4 linked regions of the Oryctolagus cuniculus genome follow. The protein of the gene in region 1 purifies or fractionates together with the protein of each later gene. This does not show direct contact. Links are inferred from orthologs where the notes say so. Each region holds a gene or a part of one and is shown on either strand. Other genes may lie near its edges. The genes, in order: AURKB, G3BP2, SEC16A and PPP6C.

Region 1 (4,814 bases):
AGTATTTAAAAGGTTGCCCTGAGCATCTTTGTGATTCATTTTTACTCTGCCCCTACCGAATTAGGTTTGTGGCATAAATTCCTGAAACTTCCAAGTTCCCAAGTAAAAGGTCCCCTTAGCTGAACTGCCAACTGCTGCTGTCCAAAGGGCCGTACGACTTTCCCAAAGGTGATCTATTCATTATTTTGCTCTTTTTAATAATTTTTTTTCTTGTGTTCAGAATTCGGGTCCACGTTTTTTAAGTGTTTTCAATGATCTCTGATGCTCTATCTTTGTCAACTTAGCATGGAACACAAGGCATTAAATACTACTGTTAGCTGTCTCCAGATTTCTCAGAGGGCGCTAGCCTGGAGGCGTATGTATCTCCTTGCTTCTACTACGCTGAAAGTAAACAACAGAAAAACAAAGAAATGCAGCCCGGCCGCCCAGCGCCCAGCGAGCCTGGCCCTCCTTTTCTTGCCATCTCTTTCCTTGACTGATAGTGCCTTTGCTGGTGAGGCAGGCTTGGGTGGCTGGCAAGGAATGTGTCCTACCTCCCCGCCGTCCACACGGCACCCGCTGTCCAGGCTGGAACCTGGGCCTTGCCCTCCGCTCCCCTCCGCTCCGTCGCCCCTGGCCCTCCTCCTGCCAGAGTGGTCCCAATGTCTAGGGCGTCCTATAGAGCGAGACGGAGGCGGACAGGAGAGGGTGTGAGGCTAGCCCCCGACACGCCCGCTGCCCTCGCTGCCCATCCAAACTCGAGCCCCTGACTTGCGTTAGTTATTCTATAAGAAGACGCAAAGAGGCAATCCGTCTTCTCGCCTACATGTCTCTCTCTCTCACACACACACACCCATAACAAAATAGGAAGAAGTGCACATGAGAATCACACTCATTATTTCCGCAGCTGGTCACAAGGTCGTAGCTGGTATCTATAACCACCTTCCCGCTACCCCTTCCATATTACCCTCTAATTTCAGCAAACACCTCCTTCGCTGGTCGCCCCGAGCCTTTGCCCCTGGAGGGTCTCAGCCACCGCCATTTTGCATTCGTGAGTGTCGGTTAACACCTTAACTCAGGCCTGAAGTCCCACAGCATCCTGGTGGGAGCCGCGGCCCCATGCAGGAACCCGGCTTGCTGCTCCTCCTGGACTACCCTACCTACTGCCAAGCCTGCCCCGCACGGGGACAGCGGGCCTCTGGCTGCCGCCAGTGTAGACGCGAGGCACCGAACGCCTGCCTTGCTCACCAGGCTCACCACTTCCACCCGTCACTCAGCCCGTGGCAGGCAGGAGAGGACACTCGGCCCAGGCCACAGTCGCCGTTTCTTCCTGGCTAGCGCCTGCAGCTACTCGATGCACCTTTGTTCGGGTTTGAAGACCCGGTCCCCCCGCACGGGGACCCAAGGCCCGCGTTTAAATCCCGCTGGGAACCGGGGCAGCTCGCTTCACCCACGGTGCCGGCATCGGCGGCCCGGAAGGAAACGAACTTCGATCCTGGCTCACACAGTCTCCGTTTATATTAAAAATTCACACTTTTAAAAACGAAGAGAAAGCAAAAACTCCTCTCCCCGGGTCACCGGGGGAACTTTTCCCAAACCGGAACGGAGTCGGCGGCGGCTCGCCTTCCGCGGTTCCCATTGGGTCCCCTTGGCTACGTCATAGGTGAGAGATCCAATGAGAATTGGGCGAGGGTGGCGCCGGCAGCCAATGGGGCCAGAGCGGGAGATTTGAAAGCGCCTCGGCGGAGGCGCTGCCCGGCAGGTTCGGTAGTTCCCGGCGGCCTCAGGTGAGCCGGCCTCCGTTCGCGGGCCTCGGCCCGGTGCGGCCAGGGGCTCAGGCGGATCGCGGGGCTCCTGAGCGCTCAGGGGTGGAGAGAGAGGGTCCTGGAAGGGGGCTGGGCGGGTCCCGGCGCCGGGGCTGCGGGACGAGCGTCCGGGGTGTGGCCAGCCCTCTCGCCAGCCCGGACGGCGCTTCTGGCTGGATCCATCCGATCCCACCGCTGGTTTTTTTTTTTTTTTTTTTTTTTTTAATTCCCCTTTCTGCTTCTCAGGACTCTTTCCCTTCTCCGCCCAGGCGCCCTCCCCGCTACCCCGTGAGGATGGCCCAGAAGGAGAACGCCTACCCCTGGCCCTACAGCCGACCCACGGTAAGGCCACCCCGCCCCGCGGGACGCGCTGGACCACCCCCTCGGCACCGCCTGCCCCCTTATGCCCTAAGCGTGTTTTGTTCCACTTGGCCATGCGTCGATCACTGTTGGGAAGCAGGTTTTCAGGGCCCCCGGAGCCGCCTCCTTCCGGCTGAACTTGTGCCGTCTATTGGTGAGGCTTTGGTTCTGGTCTGGTGGTGGAGGGTCCATGTCTCCCCTGTGCGCCGGCTGCCTCCCTCGCGGAGCACTGAGCGAGGCCATTAAGAGCGGGTCTGAATGAGCCGCCATTGTCACTGCCAAAAGGAAGAAGTCTGTCCTGAAGTGGCATTGGCTGCCTCCCTGGCCTCATCTAAGCTCTAATCGGCTGAGCTTGCCAGTGTGCTGACGCTGTGGGGTTGGTTGACCAGGCCCTCACCTGGCCCCTGGTGTGAGGGTTGGGGGAGCCGGTGCGGTGTCATGGACAGGACTACACAGACTAGACAGTCATGCCTGAGACGGTGGCACAGGCCAGGGCCAAGGAGGTGAAATGTTAGGTGTTGGGGAGGAGTCCCCTGTTTTTGGCCCACTTGGGTTATTATTATTATTTTTTAAGGATTTATTTATTTATTTGAAAGATACAGAGAGAGAGAGTTCTTCCATCCGCTGGTTCACTCCTCAAATGCTCGTGACAGGCAGAGCTGGGCCAGGCCGGAGCCAGGAGCTTCCTCTGGGTCTCCCACACCGGTGCAGGGGCCCAAGCACTTGGGCCATCCTCCACTGCTTTCCCAGATGTATGAGTAGGGAGCTGGATGGGAAGTGGAGGGCCCATATGGGATGCTGGCACTGCAGGTGGCTTTACCCGCTGCACCAGTGCCGCCCCCTGCCCCACCTCTAGGCAGAGTGGACAGTAAGAGAGAGAGAGAGAGACAGAGAGAAAGGTCTTCCTTTTGCCTTTGGTTCACCCTCCAATGGCCGCCACGGCCGGCACGCTGTGGCCGGTGCACCGCGCTGATCCGAAGCCAGGAGCCAGGTGCTTCTCCTGGTCTCCCGTGGGGTGCAGGGCCCAAGCACTTGGGCCATCCTCCACTGCACTCCCTGGCCACAGCAGAGAGCTGGCCTGGAAGAGGCGCAACCGGGACAGAATCCGGCGCCCTGACCGGGACTAGAACCTGGTGTGCCGGCGCCGCAGGCAGAGGATTAATAACCCATTTTAACATGAGACTCTGAACAGAGTCTTGGGGCTGGAGGCCAAAACTGTCGTATCAGGGTTTTTCTCAGCACTGGGGGTGGACAGCACGTGGGAAGCTGTTTAGGCAGGAGCAGAAAAGCTGCTCGCGGCACATTCCAGCCGGGTCCCTGGGACAAAGGCGCCCTGGCGCTCCGCCTTCTCCTCCTTAGCCTCAGTCTGGCCTGAACACTCTGCCTCAGAGAATCCTGCGGAAGGAGGCTGCCACCCCCTCTGCCCTTGTCCTCATGAACCGCTCCAACGCCCCGCCCACAGGCAAGTGGCCCAGGAGGGAAAGCAGGGACTGGGGAGCTGGAGTCTACGGGACGGGTAGGGAGGATGTCCCAGCAGGGTCTCACCTCTCCCGCTCTCTCCTTAGCTGTCCTTGGGCAGAAGGGGATGGAGAACAGCAGTGGGGCACCCAACTTCACGTGAGTGCTCCCAGCCTGGAGGTGGCCAGCGGGAAGGGACGGCCTGGGACCGGCAGAAGTGGGGGAGCCGCGGTGGAGGTGGGGGGGCTGAGGGAGTGGGGAGAAAGCAGACTCCTGGGCTGCCCGGCAGGCCGGCGCTGAGCTGTGTCCCCCACTTGCTGAGCAGGCGGCCCTTCACCATCGACGACTTCGAGATCGGCCGTCCTCTGGGCAAAGGCAAATTTGGAAACGTGTACTTGGCCCGGGAGAAGAAGAGCCATTTCATCGTGGCACTCAAGGTCCTCTTCAAGTCTCAGATCGAGAAAGAGGGTGTGGAGCACCAGCTGCGCAGGGAGATCGAGATCCAGGCGCACCTGCAGTACGCCCCCGCCCCGGGAGTCCAGACTGTGGCCCCTGAGAGCTGGGTCCAGTTCCCCAGCCTGGGCCCTATCATCTTCCCTTTATGCCCGGATGTGGCCTGAGGCCTCCTGTCTCCTGCTGCAGGCATCCCAACATTCTGCGTCTCTACAACTATTTCTACGACCGGAGGAGAATCTACCTGATCCTGGAGTACGCCCCGCGCGGCGAGCTGTACAAGGAGCTGCAGAAAAGCCGCACTTTTGACGAGCAGCGAACAGCCACGGTCGGGGCGGGTGGGCACCTGGGACCCCGGCTGGGGGCTTGAGGCTGGGGGCACGCTGCCTGTGGCCGCGGGGCTGTCCTTGTCTGACTGCCTGTCCCCGCCCTCCCAGATCATGGAGGAGCTGGCAGATGCCCTGCGCTACTGCCACGAGAAGAAAGTGATTCACAGGGACATCAAGCCGGAGAACCTGCTCCTGGGGCTGCAGGGGGAGCTGAAGATCGCGGATTTCGGCTGGTCTGTGCACGCGCCCTCCCTGCGGTACGTGGCGCTGGGAAGCCGGCCCTGGCAGGCGGCACCTCTGGGCAATCCCGGTAGGAAAGTAGGAGACGCATAGTTCTGACCCCAGGTGCTTCCCACCCTTCTTTTTTTTTTTTTTTTTTTTTTTTTTACGGGCAGGGTGGACAGTGAGAGACAGAGAGAAAGGTCTTCCT
Region 2 (4,830 bases), on another chromosome or scaffold:
CTAACTCTCAAATAAAATAAATAAAATCTTTAAAAAATAAATAAAATCTTAAAAGAAAAAAAGAAAATCATTGCATCATGTATGCATCTCAAAGCAAACAGCAATGGAGAGGCTGAGAAGGTCATTTCAGTGGGCCAAGATCTGACCCTAAAAATGTAAGTCCACTTCCCAAGAGAATTTGAGCCTCACCTATGATAAAAAGTACTGAATTAGTCACTAAAGGCCACCACAATACTCCTAAACTAACACTAGCACCTTAAAAAGTTATTCTGAAACCTGGATTCTGGAGTCAGCGAAGCATTGCAGTCTCCCCCTCTATCTCTGCAATCCTGCCTTTCAAATAAATAAACCTTAAAAAAAACTGTACATGATGATGTCTTCCAAACACAAATTATCATTTCTATTACTCCTAAGCAAACACAGAGACTGCTCCACCTCACCACCGCTACCCCCACTAAAAAACAATCTTTTGCAATGATGTTTAATTGTTTTTGCTGAGTTTTCCACTAGAAAGGAAGGTAGGATGGGAAAAGTGAGCCACTGAACAAAGTAATTTTAAAACATAGATTTCACTCCCAATGAATTCTGTTGTCAGGTGTAGTTTAGGAAAACTTAGAAATATAGAAAAATTTAAAAACATTCTAATTTACTCAAAATTTTGAGTTCTATATATTTTAATGGCACATGGCATTCTTATTCTGAATTTATTTATGAAAATCAAAAGAGTAAGTTAGGCAGTAACAGCTCTTTCATGTTGTCTCCTCTTTGACTTATTTAAGAAATGGTTCTTCAGCAATTACCATGCTAAAGGAATTCCATTAGATGATCAAAGGGTACAGCACAGTCCTGAACTGGCCTCTGTATGAGCAGGAGTCACAGAGAACCCCCTTTCTCTTAAGGAAGAAGTCCATTTCAGGGTTGTTCTGCAGTGATGGTGCCTCTGCTCCCCTTCAAGACCCTGACTGGGGACAAATCAGCCACTACACCCTGTCTGTCTCCTTCTGAGGCTGGCGGTTGGGAGCAGCTTGCACCTGCTGTGAGACAGCAGAACCCAGGCGAGACTTGGGGCCAGGGAGCCTGGACAACTCCAGCCTCACCACCTCTGCACCCACTGTCCACTGCTCTTGCCCACAGTCCCTCCCGCCCAGGGGATGCTGCTACGGAAGAAAATAGGTCAAATGAAGGGGAAATTCAGTCAGCTGTTACCACTACATTCACCAACGTTTACAAGTAAACGGCACATTTCAACAAGACCAAAGTGAAGATGCTGTGTTTTATTACTGAGCCGCAGGAACGGTAGCCCTACTCCAGGCCACAGCCTTCTCCCTGACCATGGGGCCGTGAGGTTCAGGGAGCGGTGAGGCTGCGGTGAGACCTGGCCAGTGAAGTTCTTTTAAGTTCTCTGTGCACAGTACTTGGTGACAAAAATGCGGAGCACCGATTGGTTACTTATTTTAGGCTGCAACAAAATGCCCCCATGGAAAATGTCTGAAGCAAAATGTCAAGTGTCTAGTTTTAAAGCAGAGGACAATGCTTAGAACACAGTATTTTTGGCAAGACGATCCCACCCGTTCCCCAAGTCTCCCAGGCTTAAAATCTTGGCACTAGCAAACAAACTTTCACCACAGCCTTTGTGATAACAAGCTCTGTACAAATCTACTTTAGAGATGAAATCGGACCTCCTACTCAGCGCAGTCGTCATGTTCATTCAATTCAATGATTTATTCACTTATCCATCAACACCGCCTTCTATGAGACAACAGTACACCACAGAGACACAAAAATACGAGTCGTGCCCCTAACGGTTCATTAGGCTGTAAGCACTTGCCAGGTGCCCACCATAAATGAGTAACTACAAAGTGCTAGCCTACAGACACACACCCAGATTTCAGGGAGCTTTCCAGGAGATGATGTCCGAGGGGAGCCTTAAGGAACTAGCAGGAGTTGGCCAGGTGAAGAGGGAGGGAGAGGCAGGGCAAACTGCCCCGTGGAGCCTGATCCCAAGAGGCCCGTGCGGTTTGCATTTTATTATAGAGAACCGGGAGCCGCTGGAGGCGTCGGGGAAGAGGAGTGACAGCAACAGCTGTTTGGTGGTTGTCGGGCTCATGCAAGGGTGGACCGGAGCTCGGACTGCAGGGAGGCCAGGCCCGAATGCGGAAAAACTCGTCGGGAGGCTACTGCTTGATCTTAGTGAGAAACTATGTCAGAGGCAGGCGGGATGGAGAGCAGAGGACCTAGTTGAGAAACAGCCTATAAATAGAAACGATCGGGCTTGACTATCGATGGAGCACGGGGCTTTGCACGGGGGCTATTTGCAAAGCCAAAGTCCCACTCTTGCCGGCTTCCTCCCTCTGCCTTGGGCAATTATTTGGATAGTGGGACCAGAGAGCACCGCGGGGCACAGAGCAGAAGCAGTATATTGATTTTCTTTTTCTCGACGGGAGGCTCACAGAGAGGATGAGTTCAATTTTAAACGCTGCACCTGGGACCCACGGGGAATGCAGGGGCTGCGGGCAGCTTGAGCCAGTTAGCTAGGGAGACCCTGCGCTTTCCAGTCTCAGGAAATTCACAGGAGTACTGCAGAAGCATAAGTACCTGGCATACCGACTTGAGAAACAAATGACATTTTGCATTTTTGTAAGAGCCCTGCAAAGGCAAGCTCCGCGCTGCCAAACTGACGCCGCAGAACAATGGACTTGTAATTTCTCTTTTCTTACTCGAGCACGCCAGACGTGGGGTTCGGCGGGCTCGCCTCCTCACAGCACTTGGGAACAGCGGCGTACCTGGTGTCAGATCTAGGAATTCCTCTCCGCGGGTTTGAGGAACAAGCGCTGGGAAAGGCGCCCTCCAGTGGCGCTGGGAGGATGGGGGTCCAGCACCCTTCCCACCACCAAACAAAGCCCTGTGAAGAAATGCGATTGACAGGGATCAGAGGGCCACCACCACGCTGGCGCTGCTAACCCGAAAACCCAAAAGGGAACTCGCAGGGCCCGGGACCCCCTTACCTGTCACGTTGGCCGGAGGAGAATGTCACTTTCGACTCAACAAAACAAGCCCCCGGCTTGATAGCTCGCAGCCGAGTTCCGCTCGGCGGCAATTAAACACCCGGCGAGCCAAAACGCTTAGTCTAATCCGACCCTCTCCAGCCGGCAGGGCCGGGCTTCGACCACGTGGGTGGCTGCGGCCAGCAGGAGCAATCCGCGGAGGGCGGGGCCTGCGGCGGGGGCGGGGCCTCGCGGTGGGCGGGGCCTGGGCGGACCCCTCCCTAGGTGGCTCCTCTCGTCTCCTCTCCCCTTTTGCCTTCGCCCTTCGAGTCGCCACGTAATGCCACGTATCCGCGCATGCGCATCTCGGCCGGTGGTGGCGGCTGTTTCCGGGCTTAGGGGGCAGGAGCGGCCGCGGAGTAGGAGGCGGTGGTGGCGGCGGCCGGGGAGTGCCGAGTGCGGGCTCGGGGCCCCTGCGGAGGGCAGGAGAAGTTGTCTTCTTTTCTTTCCCGAAGAGGCTGTAAAGCCGGTGGCTGGGCGGCAAGATGAATTTCCTCCGCGGGGTGATGGGGGGTCAGAGTGCCGGACCCCAGCACACAGAAGCCGAGACGGTGAGTGGAGCCGTGGGGTCCGGGACTTGGGAAGGGTCCGGGCCAGGACGGGGAACGGAGAGGGCCAGAGGGCCTGGAGGTCGCCTCCCGCGCGTGGGGGACCCACGTGCCGCCTGCCTCTCCTGAGACCCCCCCCCCCCCCGAGCTACTTCCTCACGGCTCCCGCGCAGCCCCCCGCGCGGCGGCTCGGCCGGGCTGACAGCGGCCGCGCCCGCTCGCCCCGCAGGCCCCGCGGCTGGGTGGTCCCGCCCGGGCAGGCACGGATCCGGGCCAGAGGCGGCCCGACCCGCAGCTCCGCGGGCGCTTCCCTCCGCCCCCTTCGTCCGAGCCTCCGCCGGCCGAGAGGAGCCTGAAGCCTGCTCGCTGCCTTCTGTCTGGAAGCGGGGCGCTGGGGAAGACTGCATGGTTTAAAGCCCAGCTGTTGGCGACAGCGTGTGGCTAAGAATAAAACCATGTTCTTTGGGGCACAAAGCCACCTGCTCCCGTCCCGTCAGCTGGGAGGACCGGCCTTAGTTCAGACCCCGGCTTTCCGGGCTCACCCAGGTATGTGTCATGTGTCCAGTGCTGTGTCCACTTTGGAAACACACCTCTCGCTTTCCGTGTGAACAGGATTTGCAAGGACATTTTAAACGTGCGCTGCAGAAAACTGTTTGATAGTTGCCTCCGTGTTAGGTTATGGGATAATCTTAGTTGAAGTGTGGTTCTACTGGAAATGCGTGTGTGTGGCCTCTTTTTAAAAATAAAAATAAACTTTGTGTTTGAGAATAAGCTGAGATCTACAGAAAAGTGGGTGGGGTATGACATTTTAAAGTTTGGATAGACAGCTGTGTTACCCGGATTCTGGAGGGGAGTAAGGGTGGCTTCCATTCGTCCAGCTCTTACCTGGTGCTAGGTCTTTTGCTGAGCTGTTTATCTTCCACATTCTTCTTTAATCCTTAATTACCCTGCAAGATATGTGATGGTAGCCATCCATTACAAATGAAGAAATGAGGCTGAAAGAGGTGAAGTCATGTGATGGAGGTCTTAGACCCGGTGTTCCGTCAAGGTGTGCCTGAACTTCAAAGCTTAGACTTTATTGCTGATGCCCCCTACTTCACTACTTACCTGGGCATTTTGGGGAAATCGGGGTAATATTGTTAAAATTAACTGCTCATCTGGGTTAGAAGTGTTTAAAGCAGAAGTTGGAAGTCCGTGAATCTGTTTCCTTCATTTGAAAATCAGATCTGTCTCTGTCA
Region 3 (4,088 bases), on another chromosome or scaffold:
TGGCCGGCTTCCACGCTGGCGCTCCGAGGTGGCAGACCGACCTGAGGGGCAAAGAGGGTCTCCATGTTGTCGGGGGGCTGCTCCAGGTTGCCAGGCGAGGCATCGGGCGGCGTGGCGGCCGGCTTGCACTTCTGATGGGCAGGGGTCTCCCTCACTTCACCCACCACGTTGGCTCGATCTGCCTCCATTGGTCTCACCCCCACCAAGTGGGATTTTACCGGTTCGAAAGAGCTGTTTGCACTTGTCTGGAACACCCCCACGGGCTTGGGCGGGCTGGGGGTCGGGGGCGGCTGGGCCAGGCCGCCGCGGTGACTCTGCCGCACAGCGCCATCTGCTGTCTCTCCGCCCACGGGAGAAGAATCGATCTGCTGGAAGAAGCTGCCGGACGCCTCCTCCTCGGGCTTCCCGACTTCCTGCTGGATGAATGTGCCCGCCAGCTCCTGGGGCCGGGCCGATCCCGAGCGCCTCCCGTGGCTCGCACCGCTGTGCCCACAGGACAGGCCGTCTGGCCGCACGGGGGGCGACGCCGCGTCCGGGGCCTCCAGATTCACGCCCCCTCCTCCAGCGAGGCCCGCAGTGCCGGGCCTGGGGACAGCGCACCCGGGAAGGGGCCCGAATCGGAACGGATCCCCCAGGCAGGCGTCGGCCACGCTCGGGGGCTCACTCGGCAGAACTTCCTGATTCTGAGCGAACTCCAGGTTCTCGTCGTCGTCGTACCGGGAGCCACTGGCCCCGGGCCTCTCGGCGTTCGCCGCATCGCCCAGCGCACCACGGGCAGCGTGGTCAGGGGCTGCGGTGTCGGGCTGGAAGCCTTCAGGCTGAGGGAAGTGAGGCTGCGTGTCTCCCCGCTGCTGCACGCTCTCGCCGTGGGGACCTTTGAGAAAGGCCTGGCGCGTGGCCCCTGCTCCCACGTGGGCAGCGGTGGCTGGGTGGCCCAGTCCAGGGCTGGGGGACAGCCCGTCAAAGGCCGAGGTGCCGGCACAGCCTGCTTGTTCAGATGAGAGGTTCTCCTCATTTTCAGTCTCCCCACTCTGGAAAAACATCGAGAGCGCGCCCGAGTCTGCGTCGGGCAGCACCCAGCCGGCCCCCGCGGCCGGGGCGCAGTGCAGGCGGTCCTGCGGGCTGTTCTGAGCAGGGGTGCTCACGAGGGCCGCGCCGGTCACTCCCGGATTCTGCCGGAGCTCCTGCTTTGCCCAGGTATTTGCAACTCTGCAATTCTGCCCGAACGCGCCTTCAGGACGGACGCCGTGTGCTGAGTGGTTTCGGCCCTGCGGGCAGGCCGGCTCGTTGCTCCCGTCGCCGGCCGCGGGCGCTGGGCCGTGCTGCTCGGGGCCGGGACCTCGAGGCTGGCCGGGCGGCGGGGGGAGCGGGAGGACGCCAGCATTCTGAAGCGACCCTTCCGAGCAGGGCGAGTGAGGCTGGCCGGCGGGCCGCGGGCCCCCCTGCGCCTGCCCCCACTGCTCTGGCCCCTGCTGACAAGGCTGGGGGAAGGAGGCGGCGGCCGTGGCTGTCCCCACACTGGCGTGCAGGTCGTGCCCGCTGGGGGGCCGGTCAAGCCATGGCATGGTCCCACGCGCAGGGGCCCCGTGAGACTCGTCAGGACCCACTCCTGGAATGCAGTGAGGCGGATACGGCAGAGTCTGGACGCCAGGCTCCGAGCCGGGACCAAGCTCTGCATTCCTGTTCACCTCCGACCCAGGCAACACCGAGGCCGGCACACTAGGAAACAGACTGGCGTCTGCTCTGGGCTGCGCCAGAGGCCCCGGCGGGGGCTCCCAGGGTGCTTGGGAGCTGTCCCCGGCATCTGTGTGCGGCACGGGCACGCCGGGGTACTGGGCGAGCCCTGAGGGCACCGGGCCCTGGACACCGGGCAGGCCGGCCCTGGACGCCGCGCCTGCTGGGCCGCTCTGCAGCGCCTGTCTGCTAAAGACAAAGGGGTCCGTCACGGGCTGCGGGGGACAGGCGGCTGGGGCCACGGCGCTGCCGCCCGCCCGTCTCCTGTACGGGCTGTGCGCCCAGAGCACGCTGTGAGGACTGCCGGCCGGAGGAGGCCCAGCGGCGCCGGGCGGGACTGCCTGGGGCGGTGGCTGCATGGCTGAGCTCCGGCACAGGTGGGCGCCGCTCACAGGAGGAGGAGGACGACGCGGACCAGCACTTCCTCAACGTGAACTGCAAGAGAAAAAGAGGCACAAAGTCACCACGCCCCCGTCTACACCGACACCTGACGCACTCCACATCCCCATCTACACCGACACCCGACGCACTCCACGTCCCATCACCACGTCCCCGTCTACACCGACACCCGACGCACTCCACGTCCCATCACCACGCCCCCGTCTACACCGACACCCGACGCACTCCACATCCCCATCTACACCGACACCCGACGCACTCCACGTCCCATCACCACGTCCCCGTCTACACCGACACCCGACGCACTCCACGTCCCCGTCTACACCGACACCCGACGCACTCCACGTCCCAGGGGCCCCTGGGAAGACACACGGACACAGACTGAGGTGTTCACACGCCAAGCCCCACCCCTCTGCCCACTGCACCCGGCCAAGCTGCCGGGGCCCCCTGGGAGGAGGCAGGGTGGCCGCCAGCGGCAGAGCAGGTTCCCTGCTGGCGTCGCTCACCCTCTGGTGCTCCCGCGCCCGGCAGGGCCAGCGGCTCCAACACCCCTCCCGACGCCCCCCCCACAAGGTGCGCCGGGCCGACACGTTCCTGTAGACCACCCCCTCCTCCCCCAACAGAGAGAAACGGCTCAGCACCCTTCGCACACGGGGACTTCAAGTCCCACAGGACAGACAAGGTCGTGGGCACCCGGCCGAGGCGCTAGGACCGTTCACTGCCCACAGCCGGGCGCCTGGTGCGACCCCGGGCTCGGGCCCTGGGAGGCAGCAGCGGGAGCTCGAGTGACTGCCGGCACCCCGGGGACAGCGGACGGCAGGCGTGCAAGCTGTGCCGCTGCCAGGAGCAGACCTGCCAGCCGGGAGAACCCTCCCTCTCCCCACGTCAGAGGCCTCCTCTCGCCCGGCCCTCGGCTGCCCCACCCTGGGGTTCTCACGGCACCCGGAAACTCGAGCGGCAGAGAGCGGCTGGGCCTGCCAGGCCGCCCGCGTCCGACCTGGGTTCACCCAGGACCTACAGAGCGCGCAGCCTCCCCGCCGGCGCCTGTGTCCACTAACGTGGGGCAGGCTCGGCCTCCACCGACCGCCCGGACGTCCGCAACCCGCGTCTGGGCCCCCAGATCCACAAAGTCCTTTTCCCCGTCAGCCGCTCAGAGAGATCAGAGCCGGGGGGGCTCCTGGCGGGGCCCGGGGCTGCCGCCCACCCCGACAGCCGTCCAGACGCGTGCACAGACGGCAGCCACGGACGCCTCAAGTGAACCTACCCGTGGCCCCGCTCCTCCTAACCCGCCGCTCACCCCCGGCCCGCCCTCCCTGGCTGAGAGCACAGAGCAATGGCTGGGCCAGAGCAAGCAGCGCGCTCAGCGACCCCTCAGGGGGGCTGGACAGCCGGACACCCCCCCCGCAGACGCCTGACACTGCCCCCCCCGCAGACGGCCTGCCACCGCCCCCCCCGCAGACGCCTGACACTGCCCCCCACACACACTGTAGATGGACACCCCCCCCCCGCAGACGGCCTGACACCGCCCCCACACACACTGTAGATGGACACCCCCCCCCGCAGACGGCCTGACACCGCCCCCACACACACTGTAGACGGACACCCCCCCCCCCCCCCGCAGACGGCCTGACCCCGCCCCCCCAGCCTGCCGCCAGGCGCCGGCGTCCCAGGTCCGCGGGTCACTGCTGGGCAAGGACTTTCCCCTGGGCAGGCGTCGGCACAAGACCCTGAACCATTCCAGCGGGGTCTGCTTTAAACAACCAGGCAGGGCACCGGCCTCGTCCAGCGGAGCGGTCAGCGCGGTCGCGGCCACTCGCGCCTCCGACACGGAGGCCCCTCCGGGCCCGACCTTAGCGGGCTCAGCTCCCGCGCGTCTGCGATCCCCACCGCTGCTCACCGGGAGAGCCCTGGCACAGCCTAAACTACTGCCTCGTAGACGCGGCCTCAGCCCCGCG
Region 4 (3,352 bases), on another chromosome or scaffold:
CAGGTTTCCAGGTTTCCCACATGCATGGCAGGGGCACATGCACTTGAACCACCATCTGCTGCCCCCAGGACGTTTCAGCAGGAAGCTGGATTGGAAGCAGAGTAGCTAGGACTCAAACCCTCACTCTGGCCTGGGCACACACATGGCCCAAGTGGCAACTGAACTGGCTGCCCACAACACCTTCCTCCTAAGGAGCATCTTTTTTATTTATTTTATTTTATTTTATTTTATTTATTTTTTTTTTTTTTTGACAGGCAGAGTGGACAGTGAGAGAGAGAGACAGAGAGAAAGGTCTTCCTTTGCCGTTGGTTCACCCTCCAATGGCCGCCGCGGTCGGCGCGCTGCGGCTGGCGCACCGCGCTGATCCGATGACAGGAGCCAGGAGCCAGGTGCTTATCCTGGTCTCCCATGGGGTGCAGGGCCCAAGCACCTGGGCCATCCTCCACTGCACTCCCTGGCCACAGCAGAGGGCTGGCCTGGAAGAGGGGCGACCGGGACAGAATCCGGCGCCCCGACCGGGACTAGAACCCGGTGTGCCGGCGCCGCTAGGTGGAGGATTAGCCTAGTGAGCCGCGGCGCCGGCCCCTAAGGAGCATCTTAACTGCTACACCAAAACCTTCTTAGATTTTTTTTTTTTTATTAAGAAACTGCATAGCAAAGGTTGATAGTGTTTATTAAAAGAACAGATATGTATCCTGTCAACAACATAGCAGAGAGGATTCAGCTGGGAATATATCAAAATCTGATGAACAGTCTGTCTTCAGCAAGGCCAACAAGTGTACCTAGTGAGTTAAGTGTTTACTTGTACAGTTTACAGAAAATCTCGGAGCAGACAACTTGGGCCTGAGAAATGTTGAGCTAGGAATTACTCATGCTTCTATAATTATGGATCTTCTAATTTATTTGATTTGATTATCCTGCTGTAATAAGGTAGTCACATTAAATAAATTAATCTGTTTGATGAAATTGCCTAATATTAACATAACTGCCAAAAGTGTTTGCTTTAGGTTGCGTGAAATTAGTTTTTAGCTCTTCCTGATGATAGCATTTTGGCCAATAATTTCAGCTGCTTCTTAGGGCCATTTCTGGAATGAAAAGCAAGACCATATCCTTAAGACATACACACACACACACACACACACACTCAGAGATAGGTGCTGTATGTAGAGCCAAGTATGTGTCATAATTTGCCATCCCAGTTTAAGCTGAATTTCTTTTGTACTTAAGACTGCTCTAGTACTGGATACATTGTTTATTTTTATCAGCAAACTCAGAGCTTCATTAATGAGAATTTTTCTTTTTCTTTCACAGATGAGTGCCAAACCAAATATGGAAATGCTAATGCCTGGAGATACTGTACCAAAGTTTTCGACATGCTCACAGTAGCAGCTGTAGGTTTTTATGAATCTTTTTAAAAACCTCAACTGTTTTCCTGTCAGTGACTTACTACATATTTTTATCTGATGGTCATGTCAGTTATATTGATATCTTTAGCATTCATTGATGAATTTAGATATGGCTGAGTTTATTATACATTCACCTCTTTATTGTTTTTTTCTTTTTGCTAGTTAATAGATGAGCAGATTTTGTGTGTTCATGGTGGTTTATCTCCTGATATCAAAACACTGGATCAGATTCGAACTATCGAGCGGAATCAGGAAATCCCTCATAAAGGAGCGTTCTGTGACCTGGTCTGGTCGGACCCTGAGGATGTGGACACCTGGGCGATCAGCCCCCGAGGAGCAGGCTGGCTTTTTGGAGCAAAGGTCACAAATGAGGTAAAGTCAACATTTTTGGAAAAATAGTTTGTTGGTTGCTAATGGACTGTGTACAGAATTATGTTGGCCTTAGAAAGCAAATTTGTAGTCTAGTTTCCTCCAACTGTGGGCGCTATGGATATCCCATTTCTAGTCTGGTTTATTCACACATACCTTTCCATAGTGGTTAATTGTGAAAGCTCCTACTCCAGGGTCCACCTGTGCTGTGTATACAGTAAGTGCTCCTTTCCTTTCAAATGTGGCAGTTAAATACACGACAGCATGGGCAAGACAGGCAACTTTTTGAAGGTCAACTGTTTTCAGTTAAACGCACACATGTGCACACATGGGATGATGGCATTTTGGGAAGGCTTCCGCATAATGGAGGCGTGGGTTGAGTCCATCAGTGGAACTTGGGTATGCTGTTTATCCAGGCTCAGCCTTTGTTTCCTCAAGTTGCAAAAGAAGGATAATTATTTCAAGAACTATATATACTGCATTCTCAGTAACTGATATTATATTGATACAAATATTTCTTATTAACTGTAAAAGTGAAACTGTTCCTATACGGTAGTACTCATCTAACTCTTCCAGAAACATCAAATTATGTGGCTGTATGATGTCTGTAGCTCTGTAATTGCTTCAGGCCAAAGTGACTGTGCCTGATGTATTGAAATTTTACAGGGATAATTATAGAACAGGTTGTAAAATTATGGGAACTTCAGCAGAATTCGATATTTTAAATGATTGTACCTTATATCTTATAGGCCACATTCAAAAGATTTTCTGAATGCTTACAAAGTTTTTCTGAATTGCAGTTTGTTCATATCAACAACCTAAAACTCATCTGCAGAGCACATCAACTAGTGCATGAAGGCTATAAATTTATGTTTGATGAAAAGCTGGTAACAGTATGGTCTGCTCCTAATTACTGCTATCGTTGTGGAAATATTGCTTCAATCATGGTCTTCAAAGATGTAAATACAAGAGAACCAAAGTTATTCCGGGCAGTTCCAGATTCAGAACGTGTTATCCCTCCCAGAACGACGACGCCGTATTTCCTTTGAGGCCTTCGCCCATCCTGCTGACCCACTTCTCTACCCTCTTCTTCCCCCGACTCTCTCGTATTACCCTCTGCAGTATACTTTTTATTGAGCACTTTGCTGCTGAAATGCTGCCTCTTGCCTTTTTTTGATTTTAAATTATCTGAGTTTATTGTTTGTTATGGTGTCTATAGCAATGTTTTTCTATCAATTTCTCCTCCATCCCATCCCCACCTTGGACTCATTTGAGAAGACTTGAGAAATGTCTTAATACACATACTGCTGCATGTAGCTCTTGCATATTTACTGGTCTGGGGAAACAGGATGTGTTTCCATTTTTAAAAAAGCCAATTGACAATTACACCGAAAACACCTTTTGTATCATTGAGCCTTTTGTTTTAATTTGGTAAATTTTAAGAAATTTCAGCAGCAAAGTTGTTATTCAGTGGGCACGATGGACTACAGATGCCTCGAGTTATGTACACCTGTCCCAGCTGTAAACTTCCGTTGTCCTTTGTTGGATGATATTTTAAATGGATATAAAATAAATTG

What was found.
Region 2: the proteins of AURKB (region 1) and G3BP2 purify together in Homo sapiens (affinity purification with mass spectrometry; 3 studies listed by BioGRID and IntAct, with this or other methods). This does not show direct contact. The link is inferred for Oryctolagus cuniculus from reciprocal best matches to the Homo sapiens genes AURKB and G3BP2.
Region 3: the proteins of AURKB (region 1) and SEC16A purify together in Homo sapiens (affinity purification with mass spectrometry; 3 studies listed by BioGRID and IntAct, with this or other methods). This does not show direct contact. The link is inferred for Oryctolagus cuniculus from reciprocal best matches to the Homo sapiens genes AURKB and SEC16A.
Region 4: the proteins of AURKB (region 1) and PPP6C purify together in Homo sapiens (affinity purification with mass spectrometry, with the first as the bait; 3 studies listed by BioGRID). This does not show direct contact. The link is inferred for Oryctolagus cuniculus from reciprocal best matches to the Homo sapiens genes AURKB and PPP6C.

Annotation. Positions count from the first base shown.
Region 1 is NC_091448.1:52,688,350-52,693,163, reverse strand, and holds the start of AURKB (aurora kinase B), read left to right. Parts: upstream 1-1,681; 5' UTR 1,682-1,766; intron 1,767-2,030; exon of another isoform or gene 2,031-2,053; 5' UTR 2,054-2,078; coding exon 2,079-2,126; intron 2,127-3,503; coding exon 3,504-3,606; intron 3,607-3,709; coding exon 3,710-3,761; intron 3,762-3,927; coding exon 3,928-4,119; intron 4,120-4,244; coding exon 4,245-4,383; intron 4,384-4,492; coding exon 4,493-4,641; intron 4,642-4,814. UniProt on the Homo sapiens protein: Serine/threonine-protein kinase component of the chromosomal passenger complex (CPC), a complex that acts as a key regulator of mitosis.
Region 2 is NC_091439.1:90,186,147-90,190,976, reverse strand, and holds the start of G3BP2 (ras GTPase-activating protein-binding protein 2), read right to left. Parts: upstream 3,219-4,830; 5' UTR 3,006-3,218; intron 2,903-3,005; 5' UTR 2,784-2,902; exon of another isoform or gene 2,718-2,783; intron 1-2,717. Other genes in the region: USO1 (general vesicular transport factor p115), read left to right, coding at 3,530-3,595.
Region 3 is NC_091432.1:236,597,762-236,601,849, reverse strand, and holds part of SEC16A (protein transport protein Sec16A), read right to left. Parts: intron 2,170-4,088; 5' UTR 2,094-2,169; coding exon 1-2,093. UniProt on the Homo sapiens protein: Acts as a molecular scaffold that plays a key role in the organization of the endoplasmic reticulum exit sites (ERES), also known as transitional endoplasmic reticulum (tER).
Region 4 is NC_091432.1:228,970,321-228,973,672, reverse strand, and holds part of PPP6C (serine/threonine-protein phosphatase 6 catalytic subunit), read left to right. Parts: intron 1-1,311; coding exon 1,312-1,391; intron 1,392-1,568; coding exon 1,569-1,778; intron 1,779-2,575; coding exon 2,576-2,824; 3' UTR 2,825-3,352.